Linked DNA regions of Diceros bicornis minor. The protein of the gene in region 1 binds, or shares a complex with, the protein of each later gene. Links are inferred from orthologs where the notes say so. Each region holds a gene or a part of one and is shown on either strand. Other genes may lie near its edges. The genes, in order: F10 and ASPH.

What was found.
Region 2: the proteins of F10 (region 1) and ASPH are in contact, whole or in part, in a crystal structure (PDB 6Q9F), measured with the Homo sapiens proteins. The link is inferred for Diceros bicornis minor from reciprocal best matches to the Homo sapiens genes F10 and ASPH. Residues at the interface, in NP_000495.1 of Homo sapiens: Asn97, Gln98, Lys100, Cys101, Lys102, Asp103, Gly104, Leu105, Gly106, Glu107, Tyr108, Thr109, Cys110, Thr111, Leu113, Glu114, Gly115, Phe116; in NP_004309.2 of Homo sapiens: Ala389, Glu390, Arg393, Ser394, Asn395, Leu398, Gln431, Phe432, Leu433, Gly434, Met436, Arg437, Val462, Leu465, Leu466, Ile467, Gly468, His493, Phe496, Ala500, Arg526, Phe529, His530, Arg562, Ser563, Leu564, Tyr565, Asp616, Glu617, Leu619.

What each region holds. Positions count from the first base shown.
Region 1 is NC_080748.1:86,879,529-86,895,222, reverse strand, and holds the start of F10 (coagulation factor X), read right to left. Parts: upstream 7,737-15,694; coding exon 7,622-7,736; intron 6,049-7,621; coding exon 5,890-6,048; intron 5,782-5,889; coding exon 5,707-5,781; intron 4,700-5,706; coding exon 4,639-4,699; intron 2,703-4,638; coding exon 2,366-2,702; intron 2,333-2,365; exon of another isoform or gene 2,327-2,332; intron 2,236-2,326; exon of another isoform or gene 238-2,235; intron 1-237. Other genes in the region: F7 (coagulation factor VII), read right to left, coding at 9,372-9,967, 10,607-10,730, 12,933-13,042, 14,257-14,397. UniProt on the Homo sapiens protein: Factor Xa is a vitamin K-dependent glycoprotein that converts prothrombin to thrombin in the presence of factor Va, calcium and phospholipid during blood clotting.
Region 2 is NC_080772.1:14,718,147-14,733,611, reverse strand, and holds the start of ASPH (aspartyl/asparaginyl beta-hydroxylase), read left to right. Parts: upstream 1-8,694; 5' UTR 8,695-8,906; coding exon 8,907-9,018; intron 9,019-15,465.

The DNA.
Region 1 (15,694 bases):
TAAATGCATCTATACAATAAGACATAATTTAGCTCTTTAGAATTATAAATATGGTAGCTATACAAAAGTAAGAGAGGACATTTGGGAAATGATGCTGAGGAAAAAAGCAGAACCTGAACATGGATTGGCATTACAATTACTTTTATTATTTTTTTTTAAAAAAAACTACGTATGTGTATGTGAATTAAAGAAACATTTAAAAATGAAAATAGTTCCTGAAATTATGAATAACTTTTTAAAAGAGACAAATTGTTTATTTGGTAACAAGGAGTAAAATGAACTCTTAATTCTTCTTCTCTCTCTGGTGGCTGAAATGAACAGTGGTACTCAAATGGACAGCAACACACAAGAATGCCTTAGAAGACCATGAACTGTTGCAGAAATGCAAAGACGTCTGAGTCAGATGACTTACAATTATTATTTTCTAGACAGAAGTGCCAACTGTTGTGCTTTCCAATGTATCAGTGGTTGCTACGTTCTCCTTATCTTAAGGTATCACTGCAAGAAACAGAAGTACTTCCTTGATGTTACTGGAGTTGGTGAGAAACCTGCTGATGCAGTTGATGCCCACGCCACAGTCGATGCTCAGCCAGGATTCTATGGCAGTATATAAGTTTTCATCTATGAACATGGCCTCATCATCATCAGTGGCTTTGGCCTATTCTTTAAAAAGCTGCTTGCTGCTGCATGGGACTATTTCACTCAAATAGTTAACATACTACACACTTCCTTCTTCATGACAAATAGCTCAAAGTGTGCAGTGAGACCCAGAGTGGTCATCTGGCCGAAGGGCTCATCATCTGTGGGTGACCACAGATGAATGTGGGACTGCTGCAAGTCCCTTTCAGGAACTCGCTGGCAAGCTTATCAAGGAGTCTGGCTGTCCTCTGAGGTGGAGGGCCTTCAACTGCTTTTGCCACACAGATATTATGCAGAATTTTTTTAGTGTCTTCTGTTCTGAAGAGGTTGGGTTCCGGCAGACTCACTCCCAGGACTTTCTCAAGCTCTTCTAACATGCTGACTCCAAGGAAGGGGGGAATGAAGTCAATCTCATGGGCCTGGCCTTCAGGGCCTCTGGATGATGGGTGACCTTGCAACTGCCTGTAATACAGTTCGCCATCCTTGGTACAACGTCCATGACTTCAAGAGATCATAATAGGCCACACAAAACTCACAGGTGGTCAATCAAGTCACATCATCATAACTGGCATCCAATTTCCCACACCTGGTCAATGCCACCAACCGCCAGCATCTGATGGCAGAGTTCTGGAGCAGTTCTCCTACAAAGATTCACGTCCAGCTTGTGCTAGGCGACGCTCCCCTTAAGACAGTGTTCATCACGGGGATTTAGAGTCCAGGAACCCCAAGGCACCCAAGAGCTCCGTATCTACATGGGATCTTAACGCAGATGACAAGCTCCTCCTCACAAAGTCACTGAGGCTCGAGTCCAAGTATCTCCCGTGATACTGTGTCTCCTCTTCTTCCAAGTCAAAGCGAGGATGAGGTGGCACGTGTAATCAGGGGACAGCAGCGTGAGGACGCTGCTCAGCGCACCTTCCTGGCTTTTCCAGGGTTCTCCTGAACGCCAATCCCGTCTCCCGGAGGCAGTCTGCCACGGACGTGACTCAGCTCTTCTCCTGACTTAAACTTCCTTGACTTGGCCACCACTCGCAACCCACCACCCGTCCCGAAGGGCACGGAACACGAGCTCGTTGCCGCCCTGGAGGAGCCGTCGGCCGGCGGGCTCCCGCAGCGTGGGCGCGGGTCCCCGTCAGCGGGGCGGCGGCCTGGCCGAGCCCCCGCCTGGCCTCCTTCTTGGCTACTTTCTTCTCCGCTTTCAGCCTCCTCAGCTCGCTCCGCGGGCGCCGGCTCGCCGCGTCCACTCCCGCCCCGCCCCTTCCTCGCGGCCGTCTTTCCCGGATCCGGACCCCAGGTGCACGAGGCCCGCCGGCGACTTCCGGGGCAGCGTCCGAGGCCCCGCCTCTTCCGGGGCGGGCGCTTTCCACGCGCCGCCGCCGCTGCGCAGGCGCCGTGCTGGGCCTCGCCGCCCGGTGTCCATTGTGGCCCTGCGCGCCGCGCGCTCTGAGGGCGGCGCCCCAGTGCCCGCCGTCGAATATGGCGGCGGCCGGGGCTGCGGGCAGAGGCCCGACGGCCCACGTGCTGTGCGCGGCCCGCCCGGGGAGGCGGGGGCCGGGCGTGGACAGTCTTTTTCGCAAACGTTTCATGTTTCAGAATCTACTGAGCAAGGCCCTCGGAAGTTCCCGGGCCGGCCACTGCCGTCGGCCCACGCCCGGAGGGCCCTGCGTGGCCCGGGTCAGCCTCCCGCCCCCATGGGCCGCCTGCGCGGCCCCACCCCGGCCCCTACCGTCCTCTCGGCGTCCTCGAAGACCTCCCGGGCCTCCTCGAAGGTGCAGCTCTCCTCCATGCACTCTCTCTCGAGGTTCCCTCTCTTCAGCTCCTCCAGGAACGAGTTGGCCCTGCGGACGCGGGCCAGGAGGCCGTGCGCGCGCTCCCGGCTCAGGAACACTGCAAGACGGGGCGGCTGGGGGGCGCCCGCCTCCCTCCCGAGTCCCCGCGGGGTGCTGCCCAGGACGCCCGTGCCTGGCGGTTCTCGGTGGGGTGGGCCGCACGCACCTTCTCCGGGGGAGTCAGCCTCCCGCCAGCCGCCCCGCGCCCGACCCACGTCCTGTCTTGAACTGGCCCTTCTCAGAGTGCTTCCGGGTCACTGTCGCCTCCCGGCCGCTGCACCCCCCGCCCCGAGCCCCACCCGCCCCTCGAGGTCTCAGCTCTGAGTTAAGTGGGTGGGGAGTCGTGATACTGTTTTGATCATCTACCATTAAAAGTATGGTTTGTATCAAGTCCCAGGAACATACACATAAAGCAAAAGTTTCAAGAAATAGTACTTACTACTGTTTTCTACAAAATAGTACTTATTACAGAATCTGTACTTGATCCTGTTCTATTTCATTTTTTAAAACCCACTAAATTGGTGCCATGACTCACAAAGGAGTCATGAGCTGCCAATTAAAATGTCTTGGATCCAAGATTCTCTGGACCGTCCCTGTGTGTGGACCTACAGCTGCGTCGTGCCCACCTCTTTGCCTGTCCTCTCTCTCACCCATTCCTTTTCCTCTTTGCGTTGTGATACCGGAGGCCCTGGGATTCTTTTCTTGGCCCTCTGTGCTTATTTCTCTACCTTTTTCCACTGAAGAATTTAGAGTATCCCCATAATAAAGACGACTCTCCAAGTTGATATTTCTAGTCCCAACTTTCACCCTGAGCTCTAGGTTTTCGACTCCCTCATGGTGATGGATGTGTCCCCTGATCTCAGAACGCCAAACTCTCATGTCTGAAACTGAAAAACAGGACTGCAGAATCAAACAGTCCTGAATTTCAAATACACCTTGGTCACCTACTGCTTAATATTGGCAAGTGGGAATGACAATACCTACTTCTTAGAGTTGTTTTAAACAGTGTATACAACTCCTAGTGTTCAGTGTGGTACACACTAGGTGCTCAATAAAGGTTAGCTTCATTCCTACCTCAAATTACTTTCACTTCCAAATTCTCCATTTCTTTTAGTGACATCAATATTATCCTAACAACACCAGGCTCAAACTTGTTATTTGTGGGCCCTCCCCCATTACTCCAAATATCTGCTCCACTACCAAGCGCTTGCTTTGAAATACAGCCCAGAGGTGGATTTCTCCCCTCCATCCTTCCCCACGTGGGTCTCTTCTGTTCTATTTTTCTTTCTCTCTTTTTCACTTTTCACTGCTCTCTTGTCTCCCACACACCTGAGTCCCCCTTGTTTGCTCCTGAGTGCTCCCGTCCTTCCACTTGATCCAGGATGCAAACAAGCCTCAGGGTCTCCTCAGCCCCAGAGGTATTGCCACCTCTGCTCTCTCCTCTGGCTTTGCTCTGCTTCTCCCGTCTGGCTTCTTCTCTTTGGACAGGCCCCGGAGTCCTGGAAGGCCCAGGGGCCCCCCTCTGTCCAGCCACACATTGGGCAGCCCCTTCCCCTGGCCGAGCCAGCCTGAGGGTGGTGGCACCGGCTTCTCTTTCATTCTCTCCCCTGCCATAGAAGCTCCTCTCTGCCTGTGACCCCCTCGCTCCCACCCAGCTCACTTAGAGAGTGGAGGGGGGTATCTCTCTGTCTCTCCTCCCACCTCCCCCTTCTCTCCCTCTTCCTCCATCTCCTTCCCTCTCTGTCTGAGTCTCTCTCTCTCTGTCCTTCTCTATTTCTCTCTCTGTCTGTCTCTCTCTCTCCCTGTCCATGTTCCTCTCTGTCTTTGTGACCTTTGACCCACCATCTGACTCTCCATCCACAGGGAGGCACACTGGCCCTAAGCTACCCTTGGCTGAAACTGCCAAGCCCAGCCGTCTAACGCCAGCCTTCCACAGGGGACAGACACCCACTATCCACATTGTGGAGGTTCGAGGGCATCACCCTGACCCCCTACCCTCCCTTCTCCTCCCTGGGGGCCACCTCTACAGTCTGCAGGGTGAGGGGCGCTTACCGCTTCCTCCCGGCAGCAAGAGGCCAGCCAGGGAGGCACTGAGCAGGACGAGGCACAGTGGGCCCGCCATGGTGTGGCCGAGGACAGTGTCTCTGTCCCTGGGGCAAGGTTCACTTACCCTGGCTCGTGGCCGGTTGTCCTTCTGCTTATCACAGCCTCCTGATTGGAGCCTGGGCCTGCTGGGGGGGTACAGGGGCAGGTGACCGTGCTGAGGACATGGTCACTCTGGCCTGTGCAGTCCTGGAGAGGTCCTGGCTGAACCTCATCCTCATTAGTAACTGTGTCCAGTGGGGCCTGCTTTGGACAGAGGAACTTTTTGGTCTAAGAGAATAACAGTGTCATTTTAGAGTCTTCAGACGTTGGTGTCTAGCTCTCATTTCATCCTTATAACATTGATAAAAGCTGAGAATCATTTCCCCGTATTTTCTCCAGAACAGAAGGCCGAGGTTGAGAGAGAGGTGAAGCATTTCCCAGGCCGTGTGTGGTGCACATGGGGTTTGAACCCGGGACTCGCTGCCCCGGGTCCTGCTTCCCCTTGGCCTGGACCAGTCCTGCTCATGGGCCTCTTTGCAGGTGTATCAGGTGGCACCCTGCAAAGGGCCTCTGTCACAGAGTGTCCTGTGCTTCACCTCCGTGTCAGTCTTGTTCCCCCACCCCAAAATTCAGGGGCTCCGGGAGGCAGAGCATGTCTGAGAGCCTCTGTGCCACACGGCTCCTTGCGCGCAGGCTTCTGGGAGGAGCACCCCCTGCCCGGCGCCTGGAGGGAACTGCTCTGCCGGAACCGCCATGTGATCTGTCGACAGCAGGGCAACTTGGCCCGAAGTCGAGAGGGGCTGTCCCATGAGGAGCAGCTGGACCTGCCTCTCTCTGCCCCACAACAAAGCCACGGAAATGCCCGCAGGTGTCGGGGCCCAGATTCCCCGACAACGGCTTTGCCCATACCCTACTGGGGGCTGGGTGGGGGCGGGGGAAATGAGCCCTGAAATGCCGGAGGTCTCACGGTGAAGTCCGTTGCTCACTTACATGAGACTTGATACAGGTCAGCAGGGAGAGAAGGTGGAGGGCTGCGCGGTGCCCGGGGGCGGGGGGGAACCGAGGTGGCTTCCTGGGCCAGCCCCACCCTGGGCCTGTCCTCAGTCCCTCCTGGAGGGACAGGAAGGATGGAGGACACCTGCTCAGCACTCACCAGCTCCACAGAATTCGGGAGTCTCCCGTGCCAGGCTCTCATCCGGGAAGATCCCAGAACTAGGGGCTGCATCACCTTGTGACAGATGACAGGCGCCAGGGAAGGCGGGTCACCTCAGGTCTGTGCACCGAAAGCAGCTCGCCCCCTCAGTGGGGCGGTTGGGAGGGAGGGAGGTGTGCACACAGCGGGTGCACACCAGGTACCCGGTCACTCGCCCAGCCAGAGCCTCTCCAAGCGTCAGGCGTGGGGACGCGGCCTTGAGCCCTCCGCTGACCGGGGTCTCTGCAGCCGGACTCCAGGCTCTGGAGGAGAAGGCCTGAGAACTGGCTGGCGAGGCCGGGGCTGTGCCGAGAGAGCCAGAGAGAGAGAGGTAGACTGCACTGTATTCCACGGCACCAAGCACCATTCCACGTCATGATGGGTCAGCCGACGCCCGTGGTCCTTTGGATACAAGCCTCTTGTGTCTGGCTTGTTTGCTGCTCTGTCTCCAGCACCCAGAGGGGTGTCTGGCACACAGTAGGTGCTCAGTAATCACCAAAGGACTGAATGAATCGGTGATGTCCCGAAATGATCCTGCTCAGCGCGAGAGGCTAGGGCTGGCCTTTCACTGGGTGGTCACAGTGACATGCAGAGCCCGGTCCTTGGGGACGACCCGCAGTCGGTGCCCTGGGCCCGTCTCACCTGGTCTCTTTGTGCTGCAATACTGTCTCTAGGCACGGTCAGCACATGGGGGAGACGGGGTTCTGTGTGAGCCCCTCCCTGGCCCAGCGCCTGGAGCCACTCACGGAAAATGGAGATGAGCCCTGATGGGATGTGAATATATCTGCTCATCGAGTGTGTTAGCCTTCAGGGGTGGTCCTGACATCCCCGGCACCGAGCTCACTGCAGCTCTGTGACAGCCGGGGAAACTGAGGCAGAGCCCGTGACCCACCCAGGACCTCGTTACCCCATGTGGGTCTGGGGGCTCCTGGACCGGCCCCTTCAGCTCCCTCCTCCCCTCTTCTTCTCAGGAAGAGGAGTCCAGCCAGCTTTCATTTTCTGGAAGAAACAAGAGATTTGGTGGGCTCAGGGCCTCCAGAGACCTGGTGCATTTTGGCTGCAGAATTTCCCCTCAGTTCCTGCAGCCTGAGCGGGGAGCCAGAGGACATCCAGATGGTTGCCAATCGGCTTCACCGTCCGTGACGATGTGATTGAGTCCTCCCAGGAGTCTCATTTTACGGGCACTGATTTCATCCTCATGACAAGCACCAAGGCGGGCTCCCTCGGTGCCCATACATGAGGAGACAAGGCACAGAGAAAGAGGGTGAGCGGCTTGGCCAAGAGCAAGAGGCAGGGCCACTCTTGACCCAGGAGGCCTGGTCTAATGTCGGATCTCCTAAGCGCATGCCCGATGGCGTGGTGACATCCTGACAGACACAGCCTGGCCAGGGAGCAAACCTCGTCTGTAAAGGCCCAGAGTGTGAATACGGTAGGTCTGTGGGTCAGATGGTCTTGTTGGCCAGACAGTCTCTGTCCCAACTACTCAGCACTGCGGTTTTAAGCATGGATGATGTATAAAGGAATGGGAGTGTCCCAATAAAACTTTATTTATGAAAACAGGTGTCTTGGACTCAGCCCCGGCCCCTGGTCTACTCTGAACTAAATTATGGCTGATTGTTCACCAGAGCGAGTCCTGGCTCCCTAACTTACAGGTGTTACACACCGTTGGTGTTCCAGGCACAGGACAGGCCAGTTGCCATCCCCCGGGTGTGTCCTGGGGGAGAGGGGGGCCTGCTGGGTCTGCTCTATCCACCTTCACCAAGTTCAGGCAGGGCCCACTTTTATGTCTGCTTCCCTCCTCTGATCATTTGCTTCCCCACCTGAGGCCTATCGGGCCCCACAATCGCCTGTGGGACTTGATAAAAAGGTGACTCACTGGGTCTCCTCCCCTGGATCCCGCTGCTCTGGGCAGGACCTGGGAGCCTGAATTTTGTGGAGCACCCCTGGTGGTTCTCAGGCCGGTGTTCCCCAGGGCTCTCTTTGAGGACCATCATCGACTAGGGCCTTGCAGGAAAAGAACACCCAGTTCTGTAGGGTTTGGGAACTACAGCCTCCAAAATCCTTCAGAGAGGGGCCCACCCAGTGGCATAGTGGTTAAGTTTGCGCATTCCACTTTGGTGGCCCGGGGTTCACTGGTTCGGATTCTGGGTGAGGACCTACCCACCACTCATCAAGCCATGCTGAGGCAGCGTCCCATATAGAAGAACTAGGAGGACCTACACCTAGGATATACAACTATGTACTGGGGCTTTGGGGGAAAAAAGAACAAGAAGAAGACTGGCAACAGATGTTAGCTCAGGGCCAATCTTCCTCAAAAAAAAAAAAAAACCCACAAAATCCTTCAGAGAGCTCTCAGTTTCAAAAACCAGGCTCCAGGGGCTGGCCTGGTGGCGCAAGTGGTTAAGTGCTCGCGCTCCACTGCAGTGGCCTGGGGTTCGCCAGTTTGGATCCCGGGTGCGCACCGATGCACTGCTTGTTAAGCCGTGCTGTGGCAGCATCCCATGTAAAGTAGAGGAAGATGGGCACAGATGTTAGCCCAGGGCCAGTCTTCCTCAGCAAAAAAGAGGAGGATTGGCATTGGATGTTAGCTCAGGGCTGGTCCTCCTCACAAAAAAAATAAATAAATAAAAACCAGGCTCCATGTAAGAAGGTTCATGTCAGTGTGTCGGTAATCGTGAAAGAAAAGAACAGCTCGATGATAGACATCAGGGTCTCAATGACATGAATTATAGACTATCCGTGAATGGCGAGCAGCGGGAAAGAATGCTCTGAGGAGAGTCAGCTGTTTGTTTGCTGATAGTGGGGAGAAAAGGTGGCAGACGGTACGTAGAGCATGAGCACTTTCCATTTTATGGTAAAAGATCCACATATAAGGGCCGACCTGGTGGCGTAGTGGTTAAGATTGTGCGCTCTGCTTCGGCAGCCTGGGGTTCACAAGTTTAGATCCCTGGTGCAGACCTACACACCGCTCATCAAGCCGTGCTGTGGTGGCGTCCCACATACAAAATAGAGGAAGATGGGCACAGACGTTAGCTCATGGCCAATCTTCCTCACACACACACAAAAAGATCCACATATAGAAAGATCTGGAAGGATATCCACCAAAGTGAATGGATGATGCTTCCAATTTATCTGAAAGGATGATGAAATACTCGTATAAGAGAGAAAAAGATGAAAGTTAACAGACAGCCCTCAGGCAGTAGCACACATCACTGTGAATACACTTGTGCACACCTCTGTCATGTCGGTGACGAGATGCAGCAGAAACGCGCAGGCGTGCGCAGTCACTTCTCTGTGACCCTGGCACCGTCTCCTGTCTCCCTTGCCCACTCTCCTGTGTCTCTCGTCTCAGTCCGTCTCCTGGAGTCTCTGAGTCTCTCTCGCCCCTCAGTTTCTCTCTCTCCTCCATTCTCTCCCCTCTCCTCTCCATCTCTCAGTCTCTCCGAATTCCTCATTCTTCTGCTCTCTTTCTCTGGGGGTCTCTCTCCTTGCCTGTCTCTCTCTGTCTCCTTCTCTCTCTCCCTCCCTCTCCCCTCCCCACCCCAAGAGCTGTAGAAGAATTTACGGGCTCTGACGCCAGGACAACCCCGTGGCAGCAGGTTTATTTCCAGGAGCTGACTGTGAGCCTAGGGGAGTGGGGCCCGGAGGAGGCCTTCAGAGTGCAGCTCCGAGAGCATGAGCCTGTGCAGCCACTCCGTGTACTGGGAGACCCTGGTGTATACCCCAAAGTGGCCTGCGGCTGCACAGCCCTCCCCCCAGCTGACGACACCCGTCAGGTACCGAGTGCCCCGGAACTCGGTGGCATGTGGGCCCCCACTGTCACCCTTGCAGGCGTCCTGTGTCCCATCCAGGTAGCCGGCGCAGAACATGTTCTCCGTCAACTCCGGGGAGCCCGCCGTCCTGCGAGACTGCTCCAGGCAGTCCTGAGTCCTCAGCCTGGGCACGTCAATGGCCATGAGCTCCAGGGCCGTGGCGCCCCTTTCGAGGAGCTGGCCCCAGCCGCTGACGGAAGAGAAGCGAATGGAGGCCAGCGTCCTCTCGGAGAAGGCCTTCTCGGGCAGACAGAGGGGCACCACGTGGTCGGTGAAGGTCACGGGGCTCTGCAGGCGCAGCAAGGCCAGGTCGTGGTCCGTCTTGCGCGGGACGTACTTGTCGGGGACGATGATCTGAACCACTTGCCGCTCCTGCTCGTCGCCGTCCTCCTTGCTGAGGTCGTGCTCACCTGCGGGGAGACCAGCACCACTCACGGCCCTCGCCCTGCAGCCTCAGGAACCGCCCTTCCCGGAGCCTCCTTTAGGGCAGGAGAGGCCCTGCGTCCAGCCCCAAGGTGGCCTGAGCAGCCTCACAAGTGGCCGCCGTTGGGTTCCGTGCAGAGTGTGAGTCAGTGGTGACTCTGGAACCTGGGGCGCTGAAGGCACGTGAGGAGGGGGGGTTGGGCCAGACAGCTGTGGGTGGGTAACGAGCGGGTGCCCGACTCCCCCAGTTCTTCCAGATGGGGCCTGGCCTCCCCCGGGGGTCCTTGTCCCGTAAACCCACCAGGGGGAGGCCAGCCCGCCGTGGCCACGGAGCCCTGTATGGCTGCATCCCCCTTTGGGTGGATGGAGCACCTGGCCTACGCAAGATGGGCAGGTATAGCGTCACCCCCATGTCTTTATTTGGGGTAGGAAAGAGGCTGAGGGACGGGGGCTGTGGTGGGACCCGCAGGCAGTGGAGTCTGCCCAGGCACTGCCCACTTCTCTTTCAGAGAAGCTCGTCTGGTCATGGAAGTCGGAAGTCGGTAGTTCGAGGCCCCGAAGCGTAGCCCCGGGTGGTTCTCTTGGAAGGACCTTCCCTCGTCAGAAGGAGGTGAGCGCAGACCTACCCAGCACTGCTGTCAGGTTCTTCCAGCTCCTGATTCTGTCGAAACAGTGGGCTGCGGAGACCACCCAGGTGGTGTCGAGCAGGGTGCCCCCACACAGCAGCAGCCCGTTCAGCTTCAGCAGAGCCTGACAAGGGCACAACAGGTGTTGGAAGGTCACATCATAGTCACCCTTCCTTGGGGACTCACCTTTCCCATGCACCCTTAGGGGAGGCTGCATTGACAGGATTGTTTCTGAAATCCTGGGGGCTCCCCAGAGCCCTTCCTGGGCAAAGCTGCTCCGACTCCTCCCCAGCAGGCCGTCTCCCCACCTCGCTAAGGGAAGGGAAGCTGCGGGCACGGGCTTGACGATGGAAATGTGGGGGCTCGATTCCTCTGTGCATCTCCTAGTACTGTCACCCAAGTGTGACCTAACATGCCTGACTTGCAAAGGTCAGGCCAAGGTCGTGCTCCTCGAGCATGTGAGGAGTGAATGGAGTAACTGATGAAGCACTGAGCCTGTTCTCGGCACCCAGGTGACCCGCAGTAAATGCTTCCTCTTCTCTTCTTCCTAAAAGCAAAGGGGGTGCTGAGCGGGGCCCCGAGTGAATCCTGGGTGGTGACGTTTTCCCTGCAGTGATTCTCCCAGGGTGGATGGGAAAGGAGCCCAAGTCTCCATCCAGGCCATCTGCGGACAGCGAGGAATTGCAAGGCCAGAGGGCGGCCTGGCTGAGGGGGAGGCGGACCGGCCAGTAAATGGTCCTGGTCTGGTTGTCGCCAGTCAGCATGTGTCGTGCTGAGGTCGGATCAACCAGGGAGGAGACTGGACGTGGGTCAGCCAAGCTGGGGCCCAACGCCCCGAGTTGTGGACAGCAGGACAAAAGGGGTCAGGGAGGTACCCCTCTCCTCATCCAGACTGGCAACTCTGACCCCTCAGAGAAGAAAGCACAGTAAAACCCCACGACGGTGAACAGCCGCCTGCGGATCAGAGCCACAGTCGCTGCCCGGTGCCGGGAAATCTAACCCTGCCTGGCTGACAGTGACTCTGTAGCTGCAGCTTGGAGAGGCGGGCAGTCTGGGGTGGTTGTTACAACCTGGATCTGTGCCTCCCGGGACCGGATCTCAGCTCTGACTGGGCAAGGCACTGAACCTCATGGGGCCTCAGTTTCCTCACCTGAAAAATGGGGCAAGAGTTGCACCCACCTCTCAGGCAGGGTCGTGGGGGTTAAATGATACTGAGAGGTGAGGTCTTGGTGGGCTGGGTCCAGGGAGCACGTGCTGGGAAGCAGTATCTGCTGCAATCACCCCCAGCGAGCCCACCTAAGAACTCCCACCGTAAATGCACAGAAACCCATGTTCGCCAACCCGCCTCTACCTCACAGAGGCCTTGCCGGCCCATTACGGGGACTCTGGTGAACACATCAGCCCCATTTGGATGTGTCTAGCTCAGATTATTCCTCTCAACACCAGCTGGGGTTCTCCCTGGACCATGAAGGCCCCTCCAGGCCCCAGCCGCCTGCCCTGACCACTGTGGGAGGTGGGGTGGGGCAGGGGGAGGCTGGGTGGGTGCAGCACCACCAGCTCAGCAAGAAATGCAGCTTCTGAGACTGGTCTGGAAGGGGCCAGATGGCCGCCAAACAAGAGACTGGAGCTACCCGGAGCCCAGGGTCAGCCCAGCGTGATCGCTGACTCTCCAGTCTCAAGGTTCTTGTACATTTACTTGTATTTCTAAAAATTCTTAACTGTTTAAGTTGGAGTGTCTCCGAATGAGGAGTTAAAGGAGGGCCACTGAGTCGGGCTCAGACCTGAGTTTGCAGCTTGTATCACATGTGGGCACACACCCCCGGGCTCTCCTGAAATGGCGATTCTGACCCTGTGGGTCTGGGGGCCTGAGAATTGGCATTTCCAATAGGAACCTGGCTCACAGCCGGTTTCACAGAGAGACGCCCTGGAAGGGCCATGCCCCCACAGACCTGACCCCGTGAGGGGGACAGCCTCCCCGACCGCAGGAGGATTTTGGCACGGATCAAGAATCTCAGCTCCCAGAGGCAAGTAGTAGATGCAGCTTTGGAGGTGACCGAGCTGGGTTCAAATCCTGCCTCTGCCATTTATTGTGTGTGTGGCCTCAGTTTCCTCATCTGTAAGAGGGGAGTGTGCGTGATGAGGTAGTGAGGGGAGAGGGTGAGCTGGAGCAGCAAAATCCCAGCTAAATGCAGATGTGTTGTGGACAAGCAGAAGTGGACTTAGAATCAGGGGGAAATCCACGCCAGCACGGCATGAGCAGGGTGGCTCCGACCGGGGCGTGCTGTGATTGACCCACCCTTTCCCTTCGAGGGCCCTGAAGCCTTACCTGCCAGGGACACTGCCCTTTGGGGCACACCTTGCCGCCCACAATTCGGCCTTCAGGTTCGCTGTCATTTCTTTTTTCCAGAACAGGTATTTTTCCACACGGATATTCAACTGTATAAAACAACGTCAGCAAGTTGTGGGGAATCATGATGGATGACCGTGCAAGTGAGAAGAGGGCATGAGGCCTGTGGGCAGCTCTGCCTCTGGCCCCAAACCCAGGCTGTGGGAGCTGCCAGTGGGCAGATGTGCCAGCGGCTGGCTTTTCAGGAGCAGAGGGCCCTACTTCTTGAAACTGCTAGTTTTTCCAGGAAAAAAAGATGTGCTTAGGGGCCGGCCCAGTGGCGTAGCAGTTGAGTTTGTGCGCTCCACTTTGGTGGCCCAGGGTTTGCTGGTTCGGATCCTGGGCGCAGACTTACTCACTGCTCATCAAGCCATGCTGTGGCGGCGTCCCATATAGAAGAGCTAGAAGGACGTACAACTAGGATATACAACTATGTACTGGGGCTTTGGGGAGAAAAAAGAAAAAGAGGAAGATTGGCAACAGATGTTAGCTCAGGGCCAATTTCAAAAAAAAAAAAAAAAGATGTGCTGCTTGAATTTACTAAAAGGTGAAGGGTGTTCTGTCTAAAGGACAGCCAGCATCTCAGACCGCCGTGCTGCTTCTTTGGTCCCACCCTTGGTTGCTGGTTTGCTCCAGTGAAGTCTCTGGGCCAGAAGGGAAGGCATCCAGTGGAGGCAGCTGAATTTCAGGCTCCTTAGACTGGGCTGGGCACATCTCTTCTGTGTGAAGAGACAGAGGGCTTGGGGTGCCCCAGCCTTTGGAATTGCAGCCCTGTTAGTTTGAAGTTGCAGCCTGTTAGTTTGAAGTTGGAAAATTTTCCATTTTCCTAAAAGTGCTGGCCTCGACAAAAGATTCATAACCCAGTATTGTGCTGCAGTCAGTGCAGACCCTGGTGTGGCAGTGTGGACTCCCGTCAGAATCTGCGTGCTGGGAGTGGGGCGGGGAAAGCCTCCTTCTGCTCCTCTGGGCCCGCCTAGAATGGGCAGGTGGCCTGAGGCCTGTCCAGGGAGCCGCTCCCAGGGCTCTGTCCTGCCTGCTGTTGCCTGGGCCCGCTCTCAGGGGGGCGGCCACCTCCACTCTCAGTCTCCTCCCTGCCTCACTGAGCATGGAGTGGTCCACACCGGGAGATGCTCAGTGAATAGTATGCCCCCATTCTCATCTTTTAGCCAATAAGAGAACTTGTGTCGGGCAGGAACTGGGGACTGGTCGTCTAAAAATGAAACAGCACACAGACCCTGGAGCCTGGTCCCTGAGGACCCATTACCTGTAGATGCGCAGGACACTCCGTCGGCCTGGAGCTCGTACCCCTCGTGGCACCAGCAGGAGCGCCTGGCCCCTGCGTGATCGGTGCAGTACTGCTCACAGCCCCCATTGTCGTTCATGCAGATCAGCTGGTCGTTCTTGTCTGAGGACAGAAGGGGACAGCCTGAGAGGGCCTCCACTGGTCAGGGAAAGCCAGCCCTGGTGGCCACCCCTCCCTGGGCCGGAGCAGCGTTCTGCACAAAGACGGCGCTCAGCTGCCTGCTACAGAGACTGAGCCTGGCACCACCTCACTCTGCAGATTGATCCAGAAGGGAGGACCTGGAGTTAGGGGGGTCCCAGCCTAGCCAGTGGGGGATGCAGGGCTGGCATGCAGTGTCACCCCTTCTGGGAGCTGGGGAAAGCAGAAGTCCCCTGGGGACAACTTAATGGGACACTTGCCAGCAAGAGGCCAGAGAGATGAGACTGTTTTACAGCCAGGCCCTGGTGTCCCAGTGAGCTGGCCTGGGGCTGACCACTGGTTCGGGCAGGCAGAGACAAGGAACGTTTGACTTAACTCTAAAGGAGAGCGCTTTGATGTGGGAAACGGGATTGGTGTCCTGTGTAAGTCCAGGACCCCCACTGGGAAGGCCAATCCTGGGAGTGAATTCACACCATGACTGCTGACCGTCAAAGGTCCTGGGAGTGAATTCACAGCGGGACTGCTGAGTGTCAATGGCCCTGGGAGTGAATTCACACCAGGACTGCTGAGTGTCAATGGCCCTGGGAGTGAATTCACACCAGGACTGCTGAGTGTCAATGGCCCTGGGAGTGAATTCACACCAGGACTGCTGAGTGTCAAAGGCCCTGGGAGTGAATTCACACCAGGACTGCTGAGTGTCAATGGCCCTGGGAGTGAATTCACACCAGGACTGCTGAGTGTCAATGGCCCTGGGAGTGAATTCACACCAGGACTGCTGAGTGTCAATGGCCCTGGGAGTGAATTCACACCAGGACTGCTGAGTGTCAATGGCCCTGGGAGTGAATTCACAGCGGGACTGCTGAGCACTGAAGGCCAGGCAAAGACATTGAGGCGTTCCAGGCCCAGAACTGTCAGGAAGCCTCTTTCCTTAGTTTTTGCTTCACTCTTCTGGCCTCTGTTCTGCTGAGAGCAGAAGGCAGCTGTGGCCCAGGAAAGCTCCTTCTGTATCACATGTGCACTTGTGTGGTAAAGGGTTAACCTTGCCCAAAGAGAGGCCTGGCCTTTGCCCTCAGGTCCTGGGACGTGAGCTGTACACCCTCTCTGATTAAGTTGGACACTTTTAATTTAATCTGCCTGATAAGAGTGTTGTTTTCCTGGGGCCTTGGGCCACACTGAATGGTCTAACAATGTGACTCATGTGTGTCCTTGGGCCACGGTATCAGCTTGCCCTTGGAGGGGCTGGAGACTGAGGTCAGCCACG
Region 2 (15,465 bases), on another chromosome or scaffold:
CCTCCTGTAACTCAGGGCCTTCAGAAACCATAAATTTTTTACCCCAATCAGGTAATAGTTACATCTGTGTGTTTCTGATGTTAGAATGTGAAAGGGTCTTGCACATGTCTGCCTAGTTTATCCTAAGATTCCAGCATTTAATTGGGATGAGGTAGCATTGTCTTAATTATACAACCTCAGCAGTAAAGTATACAGAAAATGAATCATTTCACAGGGTGAAAATTTGGTGAGTATGCATTAAAATTTGAATAGAACTGGTAATGTTCCATGATTACGGATTAACACGTTATTCAGTTTCCTCAGAAATGTTTAGGGTAAAGGCCATTTTTTTTTTAAACAATTATTTTTTTAATAATTTTATTTATTTATTTATTTTTTCCCCCAAAGCCCCAGTAGATAGTTGTATGTCATAGCTGCACATCCTTCTAGTTGCTGTATGTGGGACGCAGCCTCAGCATGGCCAGAGAAGCGGTGCGTTGGTGCGCGCCCGGGATCCAAACCCCAGGTCGCCAGCAGCGGAGCGCGCGCACTTAACCGCTAAGCCACGGGCCGGCCCAAAGGCCATTATTTAAGAATTAAGAAATTGGGAGCAAATCTCATTTGTAACCTGGAACAGCTTTAACTCATATATAAAAAGCAGCAATGAGGATGCTGAAAAAGCTTATTATAATCATGTAAATGTCAAGGACAGAATTTTTAAAAGGTGACAATGCCAAAATTTTACGTCGGAAGATAGGAAATACTCGTAGAATTATGTGAAATAATATTTCCCTTAGTTTTTGTAGGTGGGAATTTGCCCAAATTATCTGTACAGTACTTTAAAAAATATATAGTTATCAGCAAGAATATAGTCTAAGGATAAGCAATTAATTGGATGCCTAACTTATGTAAGAATAGGGCAACAGTTGAAGCTCGTTTTAAAACGTAGCATTTTATACCTCTTTTGTCCTCACCCTTTATTCTAGTTCCTTCCTCCACTCAGATTTTCGGATGCCGTATATTGTCCTCCCGTCAAAACTAGCTCTCAAGAGAAAGATCTTGATAATAAAAGATAAAGCCCTGATTATATTGTCATAGCTATATTGCAAACTGCCCAAATCTGAAAAATTGCAGGGAAAGAACCCAAAAGCATGTGTTACCTTATTAGCAAATGTCCAAATATAGGGTGTGGATCCAAGGAGAGGAAGCACCAGCTTCAAAAGGAAGGAGGACACAATGAGGGCATTCTCTGGTTACCAGGCAGCCAGCAAAGTTCCCCTAAGTGTTACAGGAAGCACCACTCCCCATTCTTCCAAAGCTTCCAGATCACCCCGGAGGGGAGGATGCAGAGAGGCAGGTGGAGAAGAGAGAGGCCTTGGACACCAAGATTCCTAACCACAGCGGGGAAGAAGGGGCTCCGCGGGCTGCAGAGGTGGAGCTGGCTCTCTATACTCCTGTGGCTCTGCTCCCTGTTACCTTAGAAGAAAGAGATGGATGGTGGCAGCCCAAAGACACACAGACAAAGGCATGGACCTCTGGAAACCTTCTTTACAGTTTTTCTAACTATATTGGGGCTCTCTGAGTGGGATGAGTGGGAGATAAGGAAGTAAGCAAATGGTGGGGAAGGGGTCGGACGCCGTGTGGGAAGCCATCCATCAGTTACTGTCACAGGACTGATTACATGCAATGTGGGGGAGATGCCACTTCTCTCTCCTGGTTACTGCTCCAGCTTTTGGCCATCCAGAAAACAACTGAAGAGTGTTCAGAGCAGCCAAGAATTGTGGCCTTCGGGAATTGTAATTCTTTTAGAGCAGGAAATCTTTTCGAGAATGTATCACAAAGGGTTGTTCTATTAGCCACCAATCACCCAAGGGCCAGCCTACTAGGCATAAGGCCCTGTGGTAAGTGTTGAGACAGGGAACGGGAGGGGTAACATGAAGTTCTTTCCCCAACTATCTTAAAATCTGATTACAACCTGCTGTTGGCAGCAACTGCAACACTCCTCCATCCACTCCTGCCAAAATAACTGAGAAGAGGGACACCCGGCCTGGAGGGAGGGCTTCTGAGGTGATGGTTGTGCTTGCCTTGGGGTCAGCAGTGGGCTCCAGAGAGATGGATTCGGCCAGTCATGCTCCTCCTGCAAGCCTTGTACCATTGTCTCTTGGGAAGATCTCCCCATCCCCCACTCCCAAAAGTTAATGTTTTTTGGCAAGTCTCTCTGGCAGGGTGCCTTAGTTATTTGCAGAGTTGTTATCTGTAGGATCAGAGCCAGGGGCAGGCCAAGTTTTTGCCAGTCATGCTGAATTTGCCATCCTTCCACCTTCACAACGTGCATTTTTCCTGGGAGTCCTAAGTGTGGGGCTAGGATGAAGGAGGGCTTTCTGTTGATTGGTGGGATTCTTCCCAACAACTCAGGACTTCTCTCTTGCTTTCTAAACCTCAGCCATGGAAAGCATTTTAGCTCTGAGTCCACAGTGTCCCCCAGGCTGAAAATATCTAGGCTTGCATTGTTGACAGGCTAGGGAGTAAGGGTTGGGGGGTAAGGGAACAGCAGGCAACCACACTCTGAATGCTCCCCTTTCCCTTTGTGCCCAACATGTGTACCAGAGTGAACCAAGGTCGCCACCATGAGCAGCTTCAAAGGTGGAAAGTAATTAGAGAAGAGCAGAAGGCGAAGGGGCAGAGGATCTCACACATCCTTCCTTGATGCTTTGAGGCAAAGGATGAGTGAGGGGCACATCACAGTGCCTGGTGCACTGTGGTCACCCCTCCTCTATAACTGCCTGTGTTATAGGTCATACTGCATACACAAGTAGGAATCACACTTGAGCGAGCATAATTCAGTGAGTGTTGTTGCTTATGAGATCTGCTCCTTCTGAGAACCTGAATTTGAGTCTAATGAGTCTGGTTATAGTATATCTTTAATACTTGAAGTGATCCTTTTATTTATTTATTTATTTATTTTGTGAGGAAGATTAGCCCTGAGCTGACATCCATTGCCAATCCTCCACTTTTTGCTGAGGAAGATTGGCCCTGGGCTAACATCCGTGCCCATCTTCCTCCACTTTATATGCGGGACGCCTGCCATAGCATGGCTTGACAAGCGGAGCACAGGTCCACGCCCGGGATCCAAACCTGTGAACCCTGGGCCACTGAGGCAGAGTGTGTGAACCCAACCACTATGCCACCCAGCTGGCTCCTTGAAGTGATCCTTTTAATTTGAGACTTGACTCTCTTTTTTTAAGGATTCACTGAAAATCTGAAATGACAATATACAATAACCTATGTGGATTTACCAAATTCTTAATGTACAGGCACACAGGTCCAACCAACTATAAATAATACTGAGCACAATTCTGGTGTTACAGCTAACCTCTCCTAACTTGGAAATAGAAAGAAAAAAAGACGCAGGCAAACCCAGCTAATAGGACAATGGGATATTTTTTCCATCCTAGTTCTATGTCATTCACAGATTCTCCTCTCTGTCTCATGCTGGTCTGACTTGGAAGTCACATCACTATTTTGAGGCTCTCATTCTGATTGTAGAGATCTGTCAGTTTATTTGTTTACAACTAGTCAGATTTCACGTTTTGTAGGCATTAGTTAAATGTAGTTCTCTGCCTCAGGCTACCTGAGTGATGACTTCACAGATTCATACAATGGGTCCCTCTCTTCCTCTGCTTGCTTTCTAATTTCTCACTTGAGCTATTCATGGCTGCCCACAGTTGTGTGATGGGATAAATCCTAAATGGGCTATCCTTACCTATTTTTAGGAACATAATTAAAATTTTAGGTTGTGTGCTACTTGAAAAAATCTCTCTTATGTCAAAAAGTCATTGATTTTATATATTTTTGGCATTACTATCAAATATAAGCCCTTACCTTACAAATATAAGCAGCTTCCCGGTGGCTTAATGGCTAACCATTTAATACCTGTGCAGAGAGTGCTCCTCAAGAAATTTCAGCTCATGAGGTACTGTAGGGCTTGGGGCTAAACTGAGAGGGTAACAAGAGTCTTGTGACCCTCTGGACTGTCTGGCAAAAGCATTCCCCAGGCAGAGGAACGGCAAGCACAAAGAGCCTGAGCTGAAACGTTTATGTAACAGCTTCTCTGCCCGATCTCACCGAGGATATGTAGATGAGGAAGTCGGCAGGCCTCACCCTGCTCTGTAGCCTGCAGGTAGTTTCCTAAATATTGTTTGTGACTTAGTTTATTTTCATATAAGCCTAAGCACGCTATCAAGCTGTTCACATTTGATTTCAATTTTCTCAAATTCGGGAAAGAGAATTTTTTTTAAAAAAACAATCCCTTGGGATACGTCTAAACAGTTAAAACTTGTGCACTTAGGTTTTTACACAATGGCTTCTCCAAGGATACCTTTTGGAAGCTGCATTCCTCAACTCTTCTTTTGTGTTGGAGACAGAAACACTAAGTGCAATATGGATGCCATAAAAAGTAGAGAAAATAGAACCATATAATTTGTGAGACAGCTGCTTGGAAATGATTTCCACTAAGTTTTACTAAATTAACATGCTTTCTGGTGCTGGGAGGAGCAGCTTCAGTGAACATCTAGGGTACTGGTCTCTGTCTCTAAGTCAAAGGGATCTGCCAACAGAGAAACGAATTCCTCAAGTGATGGAGTCAGCATGGTAGCAGTTTCATGAAGAATCACAAAATATTCAGGACTGTTAGTTAATAGCCACAATATAATGCTAAAGAATTTATTAAAGTAATGAATATTGTACTTCTTAAGTAAAGAAATACAGTAGATTTCAAATAGATTAGTAGTGGTCTTTAGATTAATAAAATCTTGTTGCAATGATACAAAGAGACCCTCCCTATTTTTCTTACTAGTGAGTTCTTTGGCAAAGTCCATTAGGATTTATTTTTTTGTATGGGCTCAGCAATGTTTATCATGTGCTTATGAAATTGCAGATTCATATCAGAAAGATGACGGTATAAAAAGGGCTGAGTTAATACTGATTTTATGTAAGGTATGCATGATTTCCCATAAACATTCAAGGATTTAAGTTGACTAATTGATTCAGTTTTGCATATTGAATAACACTATACGTTGGATGTAATGAAATTGGAGGATCCTAGAAACTAGTTGCAGGATACTTTTCTTTGGATCAGGGAACTGTTTCCATCTAAGGAGCATGGTTCTCATGAAAGACATAGAAATAATTACTTTAGTTATAGATACACACACTCATTAGATCCTTGAGGCAAATATAGCTTAAGTAAAATTATCTTGCAAACAAATTGAATCCTTGAGATTTCACCACATTTTTCTCTTTTCTTGATTTCTCCATTACTTTCTTAAGACTCCTAAATCACATTAACATTTCCTTTTATATACCACAGAATTGTCATTGTCTATAATCAGTTGTTATTCTCTGATTATTTGACTTTCTTTTCATGTTTAAGCTTCTTTGTGGGATTAAGTTTGAGATTTAAGAAGAATCAATTCTATCAATTCCCTATACTAGGAAACAAGACTAGTAATAGTCATTACTTAAATGCTATTTATTAGGAAGGGAATTTGGCACTATGAAGTATCAATCCTGATAGAAAAATGCAAAGAATTGAAAAGAAGAAATAAATTATAGGTTTCTTAGCTAATATGTTTTCAGATTATTTTTCCATATTACAACACAGTATTTCTAATTCTAATCTATTTTTGACTAGATTTAAAATTACTTCTGCTGATATAAATTCATTCTATATATTTATAATGTAGATACCTGCCAGGCTTATTTGTTCTTTGGTAATATAAAGTCAAGCTGTTTGATGAAAATGACAGTTCATTTACTTGTTGAGATATAACTCATATGGGAATAATTGCTTTGAGAACACTTTGAGTACAGAATGCCTTAAAAGTCCTCTTGTACTTACCAATAAAACCTTCATTGCAACGAATTCTACTAATGTAAAATGAAAACATACAATTGAATCATGACCAGTTGAAATTCATTTTTTCCACTATGGCAGAATTTACCACGGTAAGTAAAGATGAGGAAATACTCATTTTTAGTTTGCAATAATAAAACTTCACATTAAGAGGACTGCATACAGATGAGAGCCACTTTCTAGGAAGCACATTAAAATGCAACTTTAAAACAGTGTTCTCATAGGTATAAGTCAGTCCAGAAATATCTAATTTGGAAAGCATTTGACTGGAGGCTGTGAAGGGTCAACACGAGAAAAAAACTCACAAAAACTAGGACAAATCTTGTCCTCAAGTTCTCACTTGCAAGTCCCAGTGAAGCCAATGGAAAGTTTATGGAAATATCTGAAAGGCACATTTGGCCTAGTTCAAAAGCTCTATTAAATTAGTACTTTAATACGTTGTCCTAGTTAAGTCTTGTCTTTATGGCCCTTTTAACATTGCTTCACCCAGAGTTCATTCATAGCTTACTCAGAAATCACAGAAACGAGGATAGGCTAACAAGCGATAGTTGACCTTCTATTCAGTTTCAAAGATACTTTGACTCCCTAACCTCCCCCACTTCAATGCTGAGAAAAAGACCTATGTGAAGAAATTGATGGATCCAAGGCAAGCTTTGTGGTTTTTAATGCTCATACAGTGGGAAGCACAAACAGATGTAAAATGTATAATACCAATACTTAGCTTGGGGGAATTCAGTCCCCGAAACTAAACTGTATATACAACCGACAGTATCCGATGTTATACATTTTATCTTATAATACTGAGTCTATAAATGTTATTGCAGGCGTTTCCTTGTGGTACAAGGAGGAAGTCAGGTAACCTTTAACTTCCTGTGATCTGTATTTACAAAGCCTCTATTTTGGCCTGGTACTGTCTAAGATTACAGCAGTGTACCTTGTCAATGGTACCAGATTTGGTTTCTGGAAGTGCAGGAGCAAAGCATCACTTCAACATTTTGGAGTCAGTCATCAATGAACCTTGATTTCCTCAAAGAGGTGGACTTTTCTAAGCACCCAGCAACAGATTTCAGATAGATACCTTTGCAGGTAGGACCAAGGAGGCTTCAGGGAAACATCTGCTAAGAGAAGTGGGAGCCAGGTGAGACATTGTCTGCTCAAAACTAATCCTTGTCCTGGAAGGAAAATTTGGACCATAGACTCTGGAGCCAGATGGACTAAGTTAATATCCCTGCTCTATCACTTACTAGCTCTGTGACCTCTTTGTTTAACCTCTCCGGGCCTCAGTTACCTGACAATTACAGGGTTTTGTGAGAATAAGAACTCAAATATCTTGACCATTGTTTTTCTCAGCTTAACTCTCATTTTATTTTATATTAAGTACTATCACTGGATTTGTCTCTCAGCCCAGCTCCCCCTCTCCCCCCTCATTGAAATAATGTAATGGGCCTGGGTGGACCAAAGGATGTGTGGAGGCAGAAGGAGATGCCATAAGGTAAAAACAAAGGGCTGCTTCAGTAAAAACTCTGTGAACTGCCCTGCCCCTGCTCCACCTTGGTAACTATTTAACACTACTTCATAAAAAGGAAAGACAGGCCTTCTCCTCATTATGCAACACAACCCTAGGTGGGCTTCTGTGTGTCACTCGGCAGTTTCCAGCGGGATCCAGCCATTCGCAGCAGAAGAGGCTGGTGGGCCTGGGGACCTGTCAATGAGTGGTGGCAGAAGAGGAGTAAAACCAGATGCCACACTGCAACCACGCTCTCTGGTTCCTGAGCCTCCTTGAGACAGTCCCAGGAGGTGCTCCAAAACATGCTCAAGAATTAGGAGAAAGTCTTAAGGATTTGTCAGAAATGTACCAAACCACCACACTTCCTGCTTGTTTGTTACACACCAGGTATTGTGCCGGCAATTGGTGACACAAAGATGACAATGACATCTGTGACTTCAAGTCCCTGTCTGGTTTACCCATAAGCCCAGATATTTTTAAGACAATATGAGGAATTCAGAGGTAGCTCAGGCCCATGCACTGTGTGACTGCAGAAGAGGGGACCCATGGTTGGGGATATCAACGAAAGATGACTGTTAGGCGTTAGCCCAGCGCAGGGAGATTTCAGATAGAGGGTGCCATCCAAGACAAAAAAATGAACTTTTTGTTTCACATTTACATTTGCATCTGTTTAACTAAGATTCTCTGAAAATATTAATTCAACAAACAAAATGAAGTTCTGCTTTAAAACCGAACCTATCCAACACGTATGGCTTAAGCACTGAACTACCCCTAATATCACCATTTCAGAATGTCTTAATATTAATACTGGCAAGAACCACCTCTCTTTCTCAAGAAGCTGGGTTGCATTGCTTGGGGTCTGTATGCACATGGAAGTGGAAGCTAAACACAAGTCCCAGTGAAAGGCCAAGAGGCGGCACGCTCCGCCCGGACACCGCACACGTGCCCGCCGGCCCCGCCTCCGCACCCCGCCCCGTCCCGATCGTGCGGGGTCCGCCAATGCTCGCGAGAGCCACCTCGGCTTCCACGTTTGCCACGTTCCAAAGGATCAGGACAGACTGGAAAGACGAAAGCTGCCCGCGCTCACAGGCCACTGCGTCGCGCCAGCACAGCCTTAAGTCTGCAGGGGGCGGGGAAGCGCGGCAGGGTTTCGCCCCCTCATAGCCGCCTTTGTGATTGGCTACACTTCCCGTCACTCAAGCTTCCGGGCAGGGAGGAGGCGGGGCTCAGCCGGGAAGGGGCGTGGCCGAGGGCTGGCAAGCCGCGCGCTCTCGCCGCGGGAGGGAGTCACAGGTTCGGCGCACGCACGGCCGGGCGCGCGCAGCCGGCACGCGGGTGAAAGTCCTCGGAGGCGCGGCCGGCGGTGCCGAGCCACAGCGGCAGCTGCAGGAGCCGCGGCCCGCACCCGCTGCAGCGCTCGCCCGCCGTCAGCGGCCCCCGCGCCCCCGGTGTCCCCCGCGCACTGAGGGGGCCCCCCACCCCTCGCCTGCTCCGGCGGTGCGCGCAATGGCCCCACGCAAGAATGCGAAGGGCGGCGGCGGCAACAGCAGCAGCAGCGGCTCCGGCAGCCCGAGCGCCGGCACCAGCGGCGGCAGCAGCAGCCCCGGGGCACGGAGAGGTCAGAGGCGCTCCGCGGCGGGGGTCGGGGGCGGCCGTAGGGGTGGGGCCCGGGCGGCGGGGGCCGTGGCTCCGTCTCTGCAGCTCCCGCGGCGCGTCTCTTCCATCCTCCGCGTCGCGCCTGCTTTTGGCGCGGGGCGGAGGCCGTGCTCGGTGGGCCTGGCGGGCGGGCTGGAGCGGCTCCGCGGGCTCGGGGGGTCGCGCCGGGGAGCCCCTTCCCGCTGATCCCTCACCTGCAGGGCGCAGCCTAGATGGAAGTTATGGATAGACTCCGTCTTGGCTTTCCGTGGACTTGAAGATGAGAGTAGGAGAAACAATTTACCTTTGCCTTGCATAATTTGGGGAGTTTGGCAATGAGCCAAAGTCGAAGTAAATAAGTTCTTGCCAAACCGGCAGCCTTTAAGAGCAACTCGAAGTGTGATATTCTCAGGGGGGTGTGGGGGTGTGTAGGGGTGTGTGCGGGGAGTGATTTGAATGTTCTTGGAAATGATTTTAAGTATTTTTGCATTTATGTAGCTTTCTTAAAGGGCATTGTTGTTACCTTTAAAATATTACAGAATACTTTAGAATACTGGGCCAGCTTCTCTGTTGTTTTTCCCATTGTCTTTTTTTAAAAAAGTCTTTTGGATGTTCACCTTTCTCCTCCATGTGCTTACCCAGCAAAGACAGAGAACAGATGTTTTAAATCTGTTTCATCTCATATTTCAGTGGTTCTCTGTTTCTTTTATATTTCCTTTGACTCATAGTTAGGATATTGAAACTAACTGCAGGACACATGTGTATTGAATGTGAGCTGTAGACTTTCCTTGTTGAAATGATTTAGACTCTTTTTGTGTCCTGTGGTCTACATGTAATGTATTCATATATATCAAGAAGATAAATCAGATAACTATAGTCATACTTCACAGGACTTATTTTTTTTTTACAGCCTTTCTCACTACCTGAAATTATTTATTTTCGTTTGCAGTGTCTTCCTGTCTTACTCCCTCCTCTTGTTCATTCCTATCCCCAACTCCTAGAATGGTCCTGGCCTTTAATAGGTGCTCAATATATATTTGAATAAATTTATGTGGTGAAAGTAGTGCAAAGTCACCACACAAATTTACATTCTAAGAACTAACATTTGTATGGTAAATGGAAAAAGATACACACAGTTTGAAATTCAAAGCAAGCATATTAATTCACCTTCGACAATAAGTAAAAGTTTATGTTCTTTTGTCCCTTGTCCTTAAATGCCAGTCCGTTACTTAAACAGGCTGAAGAGTAGATGAGCTGTCACAGGCGGCTCCAGCTACACTTCTTAAAATTTAGAGATGAGAAGAGCCCATTGTGCCAGTTAAGTTCCAAGCAGAGAAAGCGGATGAACAAGACTTTAATGTTAATTGCTTTTTACAGTTTTCTGCACTCTTTACAAATGAAGCACATCTTTGTTCCATTTTATCCTTTGGGCTCATGAGTAGAGAGGACTGATTGCATCTGAGGAAGTCGCTTTGTATGGCCTGTTATTGGTAAAAATTAGTATTGGGAAATACGTATTGTGTTCCCACCCCTACTGGATCAATAAGTGAACCAGTTTTAACAGGCAAGTAATAAATTCAGGAAATGTTATGACCTAAATGAACATATTCTGACTTTCACATTCAGGCATTTTAGAGCAAGCTCTGTCCATATTTGAAGATCTACAGCCTTTTAAGCATTTTATACATTGATTCCATAATTATCATGAAACAGACATAGTATCTAAAGAGAAAAGTATCTCTTTTACAAAAAAAAAACACATTTAAAGAATATTGGAGTCTCGCATGTTACATAATGAGTAATCTTTTTCCATAGCCATTTTTTTCAGTAAATATTGACCTCTGGTTGTGTGCCAGGTAGAAGGCACAGGAGATGGAAACAAGGATTCTTTCAGTCATAAACAGTTATACCGCAGAGTGAAAGTGTGATTCTATTTATATTGTTTTCTTATAGCAGGATATACCTGAAAGATAAAACCAACTTCTCTGTTGTTGCAGTGGCACTGAAGTATAGACATTGATGCCCAAACCATTCCCATCTGCTGGGGAAATCATAGAAACTGAAGAAATTTTAGCAATGGCATTACTGTGAGGCCCCTTCAGTTCCCTCCTCTCATCTTATAGATGAGGGAATTATTGCCCAGAAAGGTTGTCTAGTTCATTAAAGGTTGTGTAGTTCTTGGAAACCCAACTAGTTAGTGGAAGATCCAAGACTAGAACCCATGTTTTCTGTAATTCATTCATTATACTACTACTTGGATTTTAGGTTCTCTAATTTGTAAGATTTTAATGGAATCTTGCAGTTAAAGTAGATTGTCTCTTAAGTTTCCTTCTGGATCTCTCTGTGGCATGCTACAACTAGTTAATTAGGAAAAGTGTGCTTTCGTCATATAACCAATTAAATTTTCCATCATCCTTGATGATGACATTGGTCACATTAAACATTATTATTTCTTAAATTTTTGTATAAAAGTATGGGGGAAAATGGACGCTATTCTTTGAAGCATGCATTTTAGAGAAACGGTGATTATCTGGCCTTCTGTTTGTCTTGGTGGTCACATTGTGTTGAAAAGTGATGTTTGGAAACTGGAATTTTGGGGATTTATATAACATTTGGAATTTTAAGTCTGTCTGCTTTTCTTTTAACTCTTCAACTAAAACTGAAAAATGATAAAATGTCTAGTTTCCTACAGAGCTCAATTTTACCTTTGTCAGTTTTATTCTTCATAACATAAAAGAAACAGAAGTAAATTGGACATCTTACTTGTAACTTGCATGTAAAAATTTGACTTGCATGGCCAATTGGGGTCAGAGGAAACCTCTTTCAGATTTATTGATTTGAAAATCTTTGGTTAAGAAGGATTACGATGTCCTTTTGGGCTTATTTTGTAGTACACAGACACTGGTATGTGTCATGTTTTTGTTTGCTTCGCTTTTCCCTTTTGAGTATCATTCATTCTTTCCCTGTAGCTTCTAGCATGCTACAGTGGTGTAAACATCTGACTCTTTATTTTGTCTAGTAGTGTCGTGCTACTACGTTCCTCTTTACCGGTAGGTGTCACTGTAGAACACTTTCTTCCTTCTATTTGAAGCTTCAGACTGTGTAACATCAATTGTTTTATTTTGTTTAATCAGTCCTGTACATACTCAAAACTATAGTGGGCGACCGCTTAAACACTCTTATCCACTGCTGTTTAATTCTCTCAAAGTCTCTCACAGCAGATTTTGAAATTTAGTAGTAAGAGTTTGTCCCTACCAGCCTATTTTTTTAGGCTTAATTTAGAATTAAATTTAGAATTAAATGCATTCGTATACTATTTGTAAAACTTAACATGTTCACAAATTCATTTGATGGATATTAATCATTTAGAATTTTTTTTTCTCTTTCTACTTTTCAGTATCTTTTAGACCACTCAGTAACTAATGGATACAGTACACTGCTGATTACATTCTGGATCCCTTGAATGAAGAGGGCTTGGTGAGATTTTCTTTCTTTAGCCAGAGGCTATCAGTTAGGGCCAGTTGCTTAATCCTCCATTAGTCAACGTAGGATGAAAAGATAGGAAGGCTATCATTCTTCCACTATAAGAACTGTGTGATATTTTGTGTTCAGTTGAACAGCATTTTGTCAGCCTGGCTATATCATATAAAACCAACTCCTAAAAAATGTTCTGAGAGTATTCTTGAACACATTTTAAAAAGACCAAGCGTATTAACCCGTGTTGGGCTTAGGAAATAAAAGAAAAGATCTATATTTTAGTCTGTCTTTAACATTATATGTCTCCAAGGATTATTAGAAAATGAGAGGTTTTCATTTTCAGCTAATTACCAGCAGAGTAACTCAGAGTAATAGAGATAAAGGCTCTTGTGGGTTCTCCTCCCTATTTTCAGTTAGTCTCAGAAATTGAACCTCTGAGCTCTCTGGTCCCAATAGAATAAACCTTTTTTCCTCCAGAAAGGTAGTGTAGTTTGGGAGAGTCTGATGACCTGGATTCATATCCATTCAAGAACCTTGTGGCAAGCCATTCAAAATCTCTAATCCTAGTCTCTTCAAATGGGAAAAAGTGTTCTCTCCTTTTCTTTCAGAGTTGTGATAGCTCTAAAACCAATTTTGAATCCCTTCGTGTTTCTCAGAGGCTTTCACTAAATTACTTCTGATGGTAAGGGTGAGTACCAGACTTCGGAGGATGTAAGGTATAGAGCTAAGCAGGCCATTGCATGCTTGAAACTTTTTGATGATACATTGTAAAAAAAGAATCATTTTTTGTTATATTCTGTGGCATCTATGTTTTAAGTAAAATGGATGTTCTAGAGGTGGTGTTTATACTGTGGCTTTGAGAACCATTTGACAGGTCTTTCTGCCTCTGGTGGTGTACATACCCCGTTGACACATCAACCTTCAAGTTGCTGATTTACCCTTGAGGTCTGGTAACATTGTTCTATTTTACCAGAGCTCAGATACATTTTAGTCTTTTGATGCTGTTCCAGCATACTGTTTTAATATGAAAATATGCAACTTAGTTTTGTCTTAGATACTTCTGCAACTCCTGAGTGGTTTGACTTCATTCTGTACCAAGATAAAAAATATTTTTTTTGAATTAACTTCCCTTAAATAAAATCTGTATGTACTTAGAACCCATCTACAGCTTACCCAAATCTCTGGAGAAAGCCTCAGCCACCTGCCGGGATATGTGGGGTTGCTGTGGCTCACTCCTAAGTTTCAGTATCTGCTGCCCAGCATCTGCTCAGCGCCACACACATGGGTGTACGTCTATCTGGGTGGACACGTGTCTGGTTCGGTCCTACAGTTTTGGCCATTTCTATTAGAGGACTCGAGATTAGGATGTTCATTTCCTCCTCCTCTTCTTCCAAAGTGCCACTGTAGGGGGATATTCTGGAGTCCAGTGCTTTCACCTTTTCACTTTCTTCTGGCAGTGCTGGGAGCCAAGATGGTATTTTCTTGTTAGTCATTATTAATTTTTTTCAAATTTTCCTTACTTTATTTCCTGCAATGAAGGTGCTTCATGCGTTTGGTCTGCATTTGATATTCGTTTTCAGGGATGTGTCTTGGTTACCTTTGGCTGATATAGTTATCTTTTAATGGCAGATCACTGAATGTAATTTAGTTCTGATCAGATTGATGACACCTGAGGACAGATTTACTTTAGATAACCTATTAAACTCAAAGGAAATTTGAGCTCACTTGGTGAATAAATCTTTTAAAAAATAGTCACATAAGATCTTTTGAAGGATCTGTATTGTTCTGTGACCCCCTGTGAGATCCAGGTGGCTTACCTGGTTGTTCTGACTGTAGTAGGACTGTCATCATCTGCCATAGATGCCCTTTGTGCTCTAATGTGGATAGGGTAGTGAGTTAAATGGGGCCGGGGTGGTGGGGGAGGGGTATCCACAGCGAGCAGAGTGGAACCACTATTGCTGTACTTGGAGAAATGCCAGCGCTTCTCTCCCACGTGTGTGCCTGCAGATGTAACCCAGTGACTCGTTCTGAATGGATGCCAGCGAGCATCCTTGTTAATTTTAAAGTGAGAGAATGTTGTTTGATAAAATAATTTTATTCCATAACTAATATTGTATAACTGCCTCTTCTCATATTTTATATGTTTGGCAGCCTTTTCTACCATAGTGCAGACTCACTGCTGTTCTGTTGTTCTGTCTCTAACTTCTGTTTCTTGTTTATTATATCACTGATATACACAATTACCTCCCCTTCCCATCTTTCACACTCTTTTTAATCTGAGTTTTCCTGAAATGGTATATTGGAAATCCTTTTTGGTCTTAGGTTCACATGTAAATTTTATTTAGGAGCTGTTAATTTTTTTTCTTGCATGAAAATAAAAATCTGTGTTGCAAATGTTTGTTGAAAGAATATCTAGCTCTTAACTTGACTTTTCCATTCTTGAATGAATCAAATCATTTTGAATAAGATGCTTGTCACTTACTGAGTTTTATAAATGAATCAAATCATTTTGAATAAGATGCTTGTCACTTACTGAGTTTTATAAATTATGTCATGCTTTTTGACATGTGAACCATCTCTCTAATTTCTAGAACACAATATGTGCTGCTCTGTTTGAAATATTACGTACTTAAGACTATAAATATATAGTGAATGCAGTGAATGCCCGTGTATCTACTGTACAGGTGAGGAAATAAAATGTTACCAGATTCTCGGTTTCTCCTTTCCTGTGTTATCCCTTCCCAGCCACTCGTACATATTTTGTGATAATCATTCTCATGCATTTCTTTATAATATATAATATATATACACCCACAAATAATATATAATGTTATGTTGCATATTATATATTACATATCCATTCATGTAAAAATGTATGTAATGTTAAAAGCAACATATATGAAAACTGCTTAGGAAGTATGTGTATATCCCTATATATAGAAATATATATATT